2 linked regions of the Schizosaccharomyces pombe genome follow. The gene in region 2 interacts genetically with the main gene of each other region. Each region holds a gene or a part of one and is shown on either strand. Other genes may lie near its edges.

Region 1 (5,716 bases), on a different chromosome or scaffold from region 2:
TTGAATAATGTCATCACATACTTGTTACTCGAATTCGACGAGATCTAATCATAAAAGTTAGCAAATGTGTTTATAGCAGTTAAAGAACTACTTACTGAGCTGAGTTTGACATAGGGGGAAAAGATGGTAAAATTTCAAACCAGCGTTGCTTTTGGATAATAAAAAAAAGCCAATTTCCCAAAGAAAGTCAAGTATTTGTGCTTGCAAAAAAAACTTTCAATTAAGGCCGTTTTATCCTTTCTATTTGATACAAAAACGCTTTTTTCGGGAACGAAATAAATAAAAAAGAACTACAAAAGGAATCCTTAATCAAATTCGTGCTTTCAGCGCACAATTTTGAAATCCGTCGGATTTCGCGTGGTGTTGGCTGAAAGGAGAATTAATCGGTCTTGCAGATTAGATCCTTAACGCATTATAACCCATTTCCTTATATATATACAACGCGATTACCAAATTGTTCTTTATCTTTTTTGGCGTACAGAAAATACGTTTTACGTGTTAACTACGAAAGTAAATATCATGCAGCACAATGTATGATTTGCAAGCTATAAGCATTTAATAAATTGATTTAATACGAAAGAATGAGGAAAATGTATATCTAACCACTTTGCGTTCAAGTGATAGTTAGAACTGAGAAGAAAGAGAGGAAACGAAGAATTGTAAAAGGTACATACAAGAAGGCAAACGGAGTGCCGCGAATAAAAGTAATAAAGCCAGAACTTAGCAACAACTCTTAAACAGACAATGCTCAAAATTTTTATTTTTTAATTATCAGTAGTCGAGCATGCTGGCCAAAACAAAGTTAAGTAAACATCCAGCCACACGAGAGAAAGTAGAGCTAGATGGTCCTCAACATGACGAAAGAGTAAGAGCGATAAGTGCAGCGAAGGGAACGTGACGCTCCATTACATATACGAGACGGTGAAAAAGGAACGGAAGGAAAAGAAAAGGAAAAAGTACAGTATGTACATTTATTTCAAAGAAATGAGATAACGAGATTGGTTAGGCGACTGAAAGTAAAATTGAAATGGCTGGTCATAAAGACTATTTGCTATCCACTTTCAATAACAAGAAACCATGGGATGGAAAACAGGTAGCTGTTAAAAGTTTCATTTCGTTTTACACTATTCAGGAAAATTGGCTTTCCGTCGCATTTGACAAGAATTCGCCATTCTGTAAAGAAATGTACAAATGAAAAAACAAAGCGAAACGGCGAATGAAACAGAAATGATTGATAAGTAATGAAATGCAAATGAGAAAAGGATAAGAATAAACAAACCAAAGAGACTTTTTTAAGGGTTGTATCTCACTACAGTGAAACAATTGAAAGAAAAATTCAAAAGTCAGTCAAAAGATGAAGTCGATTTAAAAGCAATAAGTTAAGGAACCAGATGACATATTTAAGACTTTGAATGAAATGCAAGCAACGAAATTTTCTTAAAAAAAGAGGGCCATGAGAAAAAGCAAATAGTTAAGTTTAAAAAGAAAGTTTGAAAGAAGGATAAATAGTTTGCTAAATAACTCCTTTTTTAAAGAAAGTAAACCGACGGACCAATTGATTGTATGAGATGGTATAAGCGAAACCCATAATAATAACAAAGCTTTGCAATGAGAATGTGAATTTCTAATACCATAAAACTGTTCAAGCAAAAAGGAAATGAGTGAGTAACGGTAAAACAAAGAGATAGCAATAAGATTGAAAAGATCGATTACTTAAGATTTTCGTAAAAAACAAAGGTAAAAGCCGAATAAAGAAAAAGTTGTTATACGAAAAAGTGATGAGCAAGCTTTTCTTCGCAAGACTTTCTACCATCAATTGAAGGCAAGCGTAACTAACGCATTTATTTTAAGCGACGGATATATCCAGAAATTGTAAACAAATAATTTTTGCTTAAATCTATCGCAACAAGTGTTTAAGCGCATACTTTAAAACAGGTTCAACCTGCGAGCTTCCGATGACGACCGAGGAATAGAAACGTTGCTACTTGATGGGTTGTCAGCAAAAGGTGAATAATTGGGCTGGTTAGAAGCACCAGTGCTTGTTGGGGAAAGAAGATTGCTTTGAGATCGACTAGACAGAGCTGCCCTCGAGCCGTAAGAGGATTCTCCAGCTAAATCACTAGCCATGCTTTCACTGTCACTTTCAGGAATCGTAGCTAAAGGACCTTCTGGATAGGAATCTGAACCAGAACCACTGTGTTCTGCAGCTTCGGCCGCAGCTCCAGCGGCACCAACAGCAGGGCCTGACTCAAACGGAGATGCAGACAAACCTTCAGAAAAGTTGCTTCCATTAGATGGAGGCATTGTAGCTTCAGCTTCGTTAGAAGCAGAAAGATCAGGTGGATTTCCAATCGGTCTAACCATACGGGCTCCTTGAGGACGAGTAAAGCTTCCACCAGTATTAGCTGCATCAGAAGCATCAGCACCGACACCAGCAGCGGTAGCAGCTGCAATTGGACCAGCTGAATTACTACTGCCACCCAAAAGGCCGGGCTGAGAAGCTGCAGGCGGATTGGCTCCGCCAGCGCCGGCAGAAGGTCTAGGAGCAACAGGCCGTCCGTTAGTATTGTTTCCAGCAGCAGGTGTTGGGCTTCCATTCCAGCCACGATACCTGTTATTAGTAGAGGGAGCACGATTTGGGCTACGGAAATTGGAGGGTTGATTGGGGTTAAATCCGTATTCCTCGACTTCTTGCATGCGCTCAGCCTTAATTCGTTTGGACCGTTGATGCCTTTTCCAAAGAAAAATTCCTAAACCAATCAAAATTAGAACTACACCAACAGGAATAGCAACAGAACAACCAACAACTACGCCGACATGATTGCTTGACTTGTTAGATTTACTGGGCAAAGTGCCACTGGAAGAATAAGAAGAGCTAATAGGCGTAGACGAAGTGCTGGAAGTGAAAGAACTGGAGGAATTCCAATTATTAGTAGTAGTGGGGGTCACCACTTCAGAAACGTAAGAAGTTGAGACCAATGTGATTATTGAGGGTCCATCTCGATACGTACTACTGACAATGCTGGCTGAAGAACTCAAGCCGCTCGTAGTCATGGAAGAGCTGTGGTAGGAAGAACTAGATGATGGGACACTAGACGAATGGCTTAAGGAACTACTGGACATCCCACTGGAGGAACTACTAGCGACAAGAGAACTACTGCTGCTGCTAAGCGCGTGACTCGAACTACTGGAGGTCGGGGAAGCACTGCTACTGGAAGTCAGTGTAGCACTGCTACTAGAGGTCAATGAAGCACTGCTACTAGAGCTTTGTTGGCTGCTTGATGAGACCAAAGATGTGATAAAAGAAGAAGAAGCAGGAGAAGTAAAAGATGAGGATGAAAGAGGTGAAGACGATGATGAAGAACTAATTGCAGTAGCACTAGACGATGAAAGCATAGAGCTCGAACTAGAAGGAATCACGCTTGAGCTACTCAAACTCGTACTAGCAGCAGCAGAAGAGCTGCTTGCCGGAATACTGCTAGAAGCAGATGAGCTGAGGGAAGTGTCCACACTTGAAGTATTGTTCGTGAATGACATTTTCTCTTGCGTGCGAATTCCCTTACAGAAAGAAGGTTTTTTGAAGTTTTTAAAAGAACGTTGGATTTTTTTTCTAGAAAAATAATAAGATCTCGTCCAATTTCAATGTATCTTGATGAATTCCCTTAAAAGCACGGTGAAGAGTAAGCGGTAAAGAGAAAATGTCGCGGTCCTGCTTGGCTTTGCCTATAGGTAAGGGTGATGCACTTTTCAATGTGGGGATTCTTTCCGAGTTAGTTTCGAGGCTTTTTTTCACCTTACCAATATGTTACCTATCAATGCTCTAGCAAAGAACCTTAAAGTTACGAACCAGGTGAAATTTTACTAAGGCAAATTATTCATTTCAAATGGCTGGATAAAAAGAGATCGCCGTTAACTTGCGCTTAATGAGAAAGCTACCACAGTTTTCACATACTGCAATATTCATATAGATTTCCCTAATTTTAAATTACTAAACATCCGCAACAGTAGATGCCATTTACTACTGGCTTGAAACATATGGCTGCATTTGACACTATCGTTTCCACGCGGTAATTGAGTTAACCACCTTACATAGTAACAATGTATTGAAATTTTATTCATGCCAAATTAAATTGATATAGTAGAAAATTAGTATTATCGCTTCATCTGACTAGTAACTCCGACTAACAACCCATCCACGTTACTAAACCTGCTCTTAAGAGACAACTGCAAGTGTGGTAAAAAAATTTTGTAGTTGGATGCTGCTAAAGAATCACAACGACAGATAGAAAAGTAACAAGAATAGTTGCAGTAACTTGACGAATGATCGCATCTTCTAGACAAAAAGTCAGTTTAAAAGGAATCTGAAGGATTAGATGAATATGGAATGACAATAAACTCTTTATTTAATGAATGCCAGCCGTAAAAAAAATCAAGACAAATAACATATAAGTCATAATAACAGGAAATTGAAATATTGAGAGAGGCCCAGAATTGCATGAAGCAAAGTCCTTATGTTTGCGAATGTTTCAAGACACCATAGCTTCACACAAAAGTAGATGAGTTTAGATTAATTAAAACAGAAATTCTCTTCATCGAGGAAATTTAAGCGATTTACTTCATACCATCGCTTGACTTGTTGAGAAAAAAAACCATATAAGAAGTAGATGCAAAAGGACGAGAAAAGGGAATAAATATAATCAGACAATTGGGGTAAACGTTAAAAATTCGTAATTCTTGCAAAGAATTGAATGAAAATAGCAACTTTTCCAAAATAATAGTACATATAGGATAATCGTAACAGTTTAGGAAGTTCATAAAGTTAGAAAATCTATATAAAACTGTGAATCCCGAAAATATTAAAGTCTTCATCGCTGTTGTCCCAAGAATGTCCCATTAGCCGTCGCATACCGGCATCCTCAGCGGTTGCCAGTCGAGGGATAGACACCTGTGGGTGATCCAAAGGTTTGTAAATTGATGAAATACAAGTATTGTAAGAATGACATGAATTACATTTATGACCCAAGAAATGGTATTTCGTATCACAACGTGAGTTACAGTCATTGCAACGGATGGTAGAAATCCAAGTGTTATAGGGATAAGGCATGGGTTGTCGTTCAATTTCCATATCTAAAATTCGAAACAATGAATTGACATTAATGATCGTTTTGTAACAAGTAGGACAACGATAATTGGTTCTTATATATTCTTCATGACATCGCTGGTGCAACGGATGAGAGCAACTTAAAAAGATTACGCGTTCGCGAGAGTTAAACATGTATTCACCACAAATTGGGCAATTACAATCCGTACTTCTTTCGATGCAACGATGAGTATTGAAAACCGAAATAGGTAAACAAAGGCCACAAGTCTACAGCTGTTAGAATATGAGTTTAAAAAGCAAAGCATGTGCTAAAAGTACACGAAAGTTACCTTGCAGTGGAAATAATCATCGCCAAGACCGCGTCCTATTCGACAAATACCACAATCATCACAATGATAGCTACTTTTATTCGGATCGTCATCCCAAAGTTTGCACTGTTAAGTCATGTATTAGTGATATTGAACAAGTATCAAATAAAATATCACATACCTTATTGCAGTAATATCGGCCCATACAGTTCTTACAGTATTTGCAATATTGAGCTGCTGGTTGAACCTTGGAACATATCATGCAAAGCATGTTTTCTACGGCAGGTCGTTCTAAAACATGATCACA
Region 2 (5,838 bases):
AGAAGAGCTTTTGGCAATTTTTGATGCTAGTGATGATTCCGAGATTGAGGCATACCTTAGTATTGGAGATACTTTGCAAAATGATTTTACTATTTATGATTATGACAGTGAGGATGAAGAGTACAATAACCCCTCAACTCAAAAAACGGAAAAAGTTTCTCAAAGCAAAAAAGGGGCGAAGGTAAAAGAAGAAAAAGGTTTGAAAAAAGATCGCAAACTTCCTAAAAAAATGCGTAAAGCTCAAAAGAAATTAGAGAGAAAGGCAGGAAAGGCTGTGGCCGCTAGAATGGGAGATGCCTTTTCCAATTCTTTGGACGATGAGAGCATGAACTTGTACGCTGAATTGCAAGAACAATGGCTTAAAGATAAAAGCAAAAAGGCAAGAAGACGAGCGGAAAGGGAGAAACTCCGCTCTGAGGGGCTACTTGGAAAGAAAAGCAAAAAGAAACTTTTGCGCGAAAGCCAGAAGCCGTCTTCTTCCGATTCTGACAATGCTAGTCTTACACGAATTGATAAGATATTTATAAATGATGTTTATCAACGGATGCAACAGTTTAAGCACTCGGCCATTGAAGAAATTTCCCTTCCTCCATGCAGAAAATATGTTCGTCGATTGGTTCATGCGCTTGCCAACGATTTGAACTTGAAGTCGAGAAGTTATGGATCTGGAAACAAGCGGTATACTATGCTTTCCAAAACTCATAAATTTGATGCATCTAGTGTGGATTTGGTTTCACTTACCAGGATTATGGAGCGTTTACAGACCAGGGTTGAGTATCAGTCATTTTCCAAATCTGGTAGGAAATCTCGAATGACTGTTTCCTCTGTGAGGTCGAGTAAAGCCACACGTGTATATGATGGCCAAATTGTTGGAGAAGATGCCCCTGAAATTAGCAAAGAAAATCCAGGTCGTCGGTTGCTCGAAAAGTTAGGATGGTATGCAGGTAAAGGACTTGGTCATCCCGAAAATGAAGGTTCCAAAGATAGTTTACGTGCTATTGTTAAAGTTAGCAGAAGTGGTTTAGGTTAGAAAACCAGGGTGACTGGTCAAACCGAGAAACTAATCAGCTGTGTCTTATTTACTTGAGATAATACTCCAATTTATATATATATATATATAAATATATACTATTCTAGGTTAAGCATCATATTCAAATTAGCGATTTGTACATATTGATGTGAAGTAAAAAATTAACCGTGGGTACTTCGACATGGTGTCTTTCCATTCAAGAGATAAACCGGAAATCCAGAAAGATAACTATCTTTTATTTTAAGATATAAACTTCATTTAAATAGACAGAATAATTATTCTCACTACAGGAGCAATTGAATATGTAAGTTGCTGCTATGGGCATACTGCAGCTAAAGAAGTTCTACAAAACGGTGATATCGCAGTGTACAGAGTTATTATTGCTATTTAAAGAAGATAATCGTAAAATCAGTTAGCGTTTAATATATAACACGTGTAATACAGTATAAGGAGTTATGTAAAGTAACGTTTAGGTCATTTTAACAGGCAATATCGGTCAATAGTGATACCCAACATCGCACTATTCGCAGTTTCAACCAAGTATCAATCGGAGCCTTTTTCATTCGTTAAATAGTATAAGGCAAAAATACCGTTTCGGTAAGGGTCAATAGTGTTCGCCTAGGTTCGACTGACTTCAGCCTTTATGGGGCCCGTCGGAGCTAACTTTTCCACTTAACAACTAATCGAATTCTTAAGTGTTTTTTGACGACAATCTGTCAAACACTGTATCCTTATTAAGGAACTAGTGTATTGTTTAAAGTAAAGGAGTTTTCAAGCCTGGGAAGCTCGAAGAAACGATTCAAACGGAAGCTCTGTGGATAGCCAAGTTCGGTACGGGTTTGTACTTTCGTCCCCGAGTATTTTGTTGAACTTCAGGAATTCGCGTTCTTTTTTAATTCTGAATTAATCTTTACTCTTTACTTTTTATTCGTTCTTTTTTTAAATTCTGTTTTTAATTTCGGAACAAACGAAGTTGGATATTGAGTACTTTTCACCAACTGCTCGGTCTTAATAATTCTTGATTTTGCGTTGCTGAGCCTTTATCCTTTATTGTTTTCTTTTTCATGTTGATAAAGAAGTGATTTTGCAACAATTATTTTCTTCATTGGCATTTGAATTTTTACGCTCTTTATTTTATTTACCCAATCTTTCTTTTCTTTCATTCGGTTTGCGCCTTTTGATAATATTTCTCTTAACTGGTCCAATAATTTGTTTTCTCTTTAGTCTATAGACAAAACAACTTAATTTACTGAGGGCAAAATTTTTATTACCAAATTTAAGTTTTAATTTTCATTCCTATTATACTTACGCACGATTTAATTTCCATGGTCTTTTTAAATTCCTCTCCCTTTAAGGGGAGGTTACTATTTTTTGTTTACCTTTTGATAATTTCTACTCGGTTGGTGGCGGCTGACATGAACACTCAATATGGCTGTTATCTCGTGGATAGTAGCTTAACTGAACAAGGCACGTTTACCTATCTTGATCCAGCGTATTGCTATAACAACATTTGTGGTGGATCTGATAATATAGCATTTGTAGCTATCCGTAATAATCAATGTTATTGCGGTAGTACACTTACTGCTACAGAAGTTTCAAGTTCTCTTTGCACAACGCCTTGTCCAGGTTATGGTTCTCTTATGTGTGGTGGTGATCTGTACTGGTCGGTTTATCTGACTGGCAATGGGGTTTTGCAAACCACGGTTTCTAGCTCGTCAGTGTCGTCTACGACCTCTTCGTCTTCATCATCATCTCCAAGCTCATCTTCAACTACAACAACAACATCTCCTTCTTCTTCTTCTTCTTCTTCGTCTTCGTCGTCTTCCTCTTCTTCTTCGTCTTCTTCTTCTTCTTCTTCCTCATCTTCCTCTTCCTCTTCCTCTTCCTCTTCGTCTTCGTCTTCTTCGTCTTCTTCCAGCTCTTCGTCTTCTAGTTCTTCCTCTTCCGTACCAATAACGTCTTCCACCAGTTCTTCTCATTCTTCTTCATCTTCAAGCTCATCTTCCTCTTCATCTTCTAGTCGGCCATCTTCGTCTTCGTCGTTTATCACGACCATGTCCTCATCTACTTTTATTTCTACTGTCACAGTAACACCAAGCAGTTCCTCTTCTTCAACCAGTAGTGAAGTTCCAAGCAGTACGGCTGCCCTCGCTCTAAATGCAAGCAAGGCGTCAAACCATACGTCCTTGAATGCAGGTGCTATTGTGGGTATTGTTATCGGTTGTGTGGCATTCGCCGTGGTAATGGCATTGTGCATTTTCCTATACTTCTATTTCAGGAGATTCAAAATTAGAATGAGCGACTCGGCAAATGAAGGAAAATATCCCTCCTATGCTAGTGAATTAGATTCTCGCTTGGATCCTGCCATGATGAATCGCAAATCAAGTGAATCTTTGGCTGACAGTCAGGATTATTCGAGAAAGATATTGCGTGTCACAAATTTGAACTAAAACAACATTTTTCTTTTTTACTTTATTTAAATTCAACCAAAAAATTATTTCTTCTTTATGGTGTTTATGACTTTCATAATCGTATGCTACAAATCTTTTGCATATGATCGGAAAAGTGATCATTTTGGTAACGATAAAAAGTTCTTTATGGTCGGTTCTCTGTTGGCATAATCTTATTTATTTATTTTCCCTTATTTTATTCGTTCTTTACTTTTTCTTCTTCTCTTTATCTTTCTTTCGGGAAACTGGATTTGTTTTCAATATGTGTTAAACCGTTGCAGTGTTAGTGACAAATCAGTTTCATATTTTTTTCTTATTCATTTTCGCTTTATCTTTATTTTCTATAACCGTCAATTATGAATTGATGAAATTGGGACTTGGGAAAGAAAGCAAAGTTGGCTTGATTTATCGGCTAAACCTTGATTTTTTTTTTAAATTTAATAAGATAATTTGGAAAGGCTAAACTCCTATGCAATAGTTGTTTTGGCAAAACTGGTTTTATTTCTTTCTTTATTTTTTTCCTTTTCTTTTCTCGTTGTCTTACTTCTTTTTGTTGTTATCTAATTGGTTGTTTTTGTGTCTTTGACGCTATTGTCTAGTAGCGATCTTTTGTACATTTGTCTACCCTTTCTCAATATGATGAACACGCTAAGTTTTCTCTTTTCTTTATTTTCCTGGTCGATTGGTGTTTGATCTTCACAAAACCACTTTTCACCTGGTCTACATCTTAATTTGTTTAGATCTTGGCGCTACCTAATTTGTGCACGTTATGGTTTTTTTCTTTTTACTTTATTTTTATTTACTTCTCCTTTCTTTATCTTCTTTTTTTATCCTTTCTCTTGTTCTTTTTTTGTTTTTGTTGTCCCTTTTTCATGCTATTTAGTGGACAGGTGTATATGTATTGGATATCTATGTATCGTATATATATACCGTTTGCTTACCTGTTATATACACGTGTGCTTGGTGTGTCAGGTTCATTTATGCAATGTATGGATAAATTAAATGATGGTTCTTTTTTGTATAATATTGTGTAACACCAACTTGATCTTAGCACGGGAGATACTTGCGGTTATTATTTTCCTTTATAAGTTTCAACAAGTCAAGTACGTCTTTGGTTTTTCTAGTTTCCTATTTCTTTTACTCTTCCAAAACCATTAGGGAGAAGGGAACAGGAAATAAGGAAACAAGAGGAAAAAAATTGACAGAGAAAGAGAAAAGTTTAACGGACGACTATTAACCAACAAGTTATAAGCATAAAGTATCCAAAGTCGTATGCAAGCGTAATTTGCACTTCAAATGTCAGTCTCAGTGTCAATTATGCAAATGCGTGCCATCTCACCATTCATTCATTGTGTTGTGATACGCTGTGGTTTATATGCAGCTCCCCCCTTTATTCCCTCCTTTCTTTTGATTTACTATTCATCAATGGCCCATTGAGGACCTTAACTTGAAGACGAAGCTAAGAAAACAAGGATAAAACGAAAAGAAAAGGCTGCTGTTAAAAGTCCTGTTTTTTTATAGAAGAATTTGGGTTGTTACCGAATCATTAAAAATGTTCCTTTTCTTTTCTTGACAGTTAGATCGTCTCATGATATTGTTGTTGTACTTTTTAGTTAAATTCCACTTAATTATTTAAACATATAATCCAAATTCAATCCATCCCATTTTTTATTTATACGTTCACAATCACTTAACGCTTTGATTTGAAAGTGGTTTAGTGTAAATCGTTGCACCACCTAATCATTGTTTACTACATTCTTGTTAGAATTTGAATAAAATTTTTTCCGTCTTTTCGCAAGCGTAAATAAACAGGGATTCGCAGCTGCGTCATTTATTGACGAATTTCCCTATTGTGTGACGTGTAGTAGTTCAGCCTTCCCCCCACACGTATTTACACCCACATATATATAAAAAGAGAGAGATTTCCACTTCTCTGTACACTTACCTACTGCCTTTATCCTTAGATCTTAAGTAGGCAGCATTATAACTCATTGCGGAACAGCTTTGTAGTAGCTTTTCATAAATCCAATTCCTTTAATTATTCATAAGACCAATTTTTGGTTAATTTTCTTGTTCGCTAAGAACTACCTTAATTGTGGACCCCGTTGAATCAACCTTCTTTTTATATTGATCAACGAACGAGCAATTCGATTAGGACTAGCATATCCTTGGTTTTCTTGCGTGTTCAATTACTAAAAACCCTGTTTTCTGTTTGTTAATATATATTTTTTTACTCTCCCTCTCTTAGGTATACAGGATGGCCCAGACGTTTCAGGAGAAACAACAGAGTCGAAGGATTAAAATGAGCACTGGAAACTTTTTTTCTAGAATGTGGAATGCCGTCGTGTTCGGCTTCGG

Evidence for each region. Genes that interact genetically often act in the same process or in processes that back each other up.
Region 1: of wsc1 (region 2) and mtl2, extra expression of one rescues a mutant of the other (dosage rescue), as found in Schizosaccharomyces pombe (one study listed by BioGRID).

What each region holds. Positions count from the first base shown.
Region 1 is NC_003424.3:3,957,719-3,963,434, reverse strand, and holds mtl2 (protein Mtl2), read right to left. Parts: upstream 3,687-5,716; 5' UTR 3,538-3,686; coding exon 1,927-3,537; 3' UTR 521-1,926; downstream 1-520. Other genes in the region: HECT-type ubiquitin-protein ligase E3 Pub1, read right to left, coding at 22-44, 96-112; SPOM_SPAC2F3.16 (ubiquitin-protein ligase E3), read right to left, coding at 4,829-5,368, 5,431-5,535, 5,591-5,716.
Region 2 is NC_003423.3:1,297,133-1,302,970, reverse strand, and holds wsc1 (transmembrane receptor Wsc1), read left to right. Parts: upstream 1-1,691; 5' UTR 1,692-2,355; coding exon 2,356-3,480; 3' UTR 3,481-5,295; downstream 5,296-5,838. Other genes in the region: sqs1 (G-patch and R3H domain-containing protein), read left to right, coding at 1-1,030; SPOM_SPBC30B4.09 (uncharacterized protein), read left to right, coding at 5,738-5,838; SPOM_SPBC3D6.16 (uncharacterized protein), read right to left, coding at 5,711-5,838.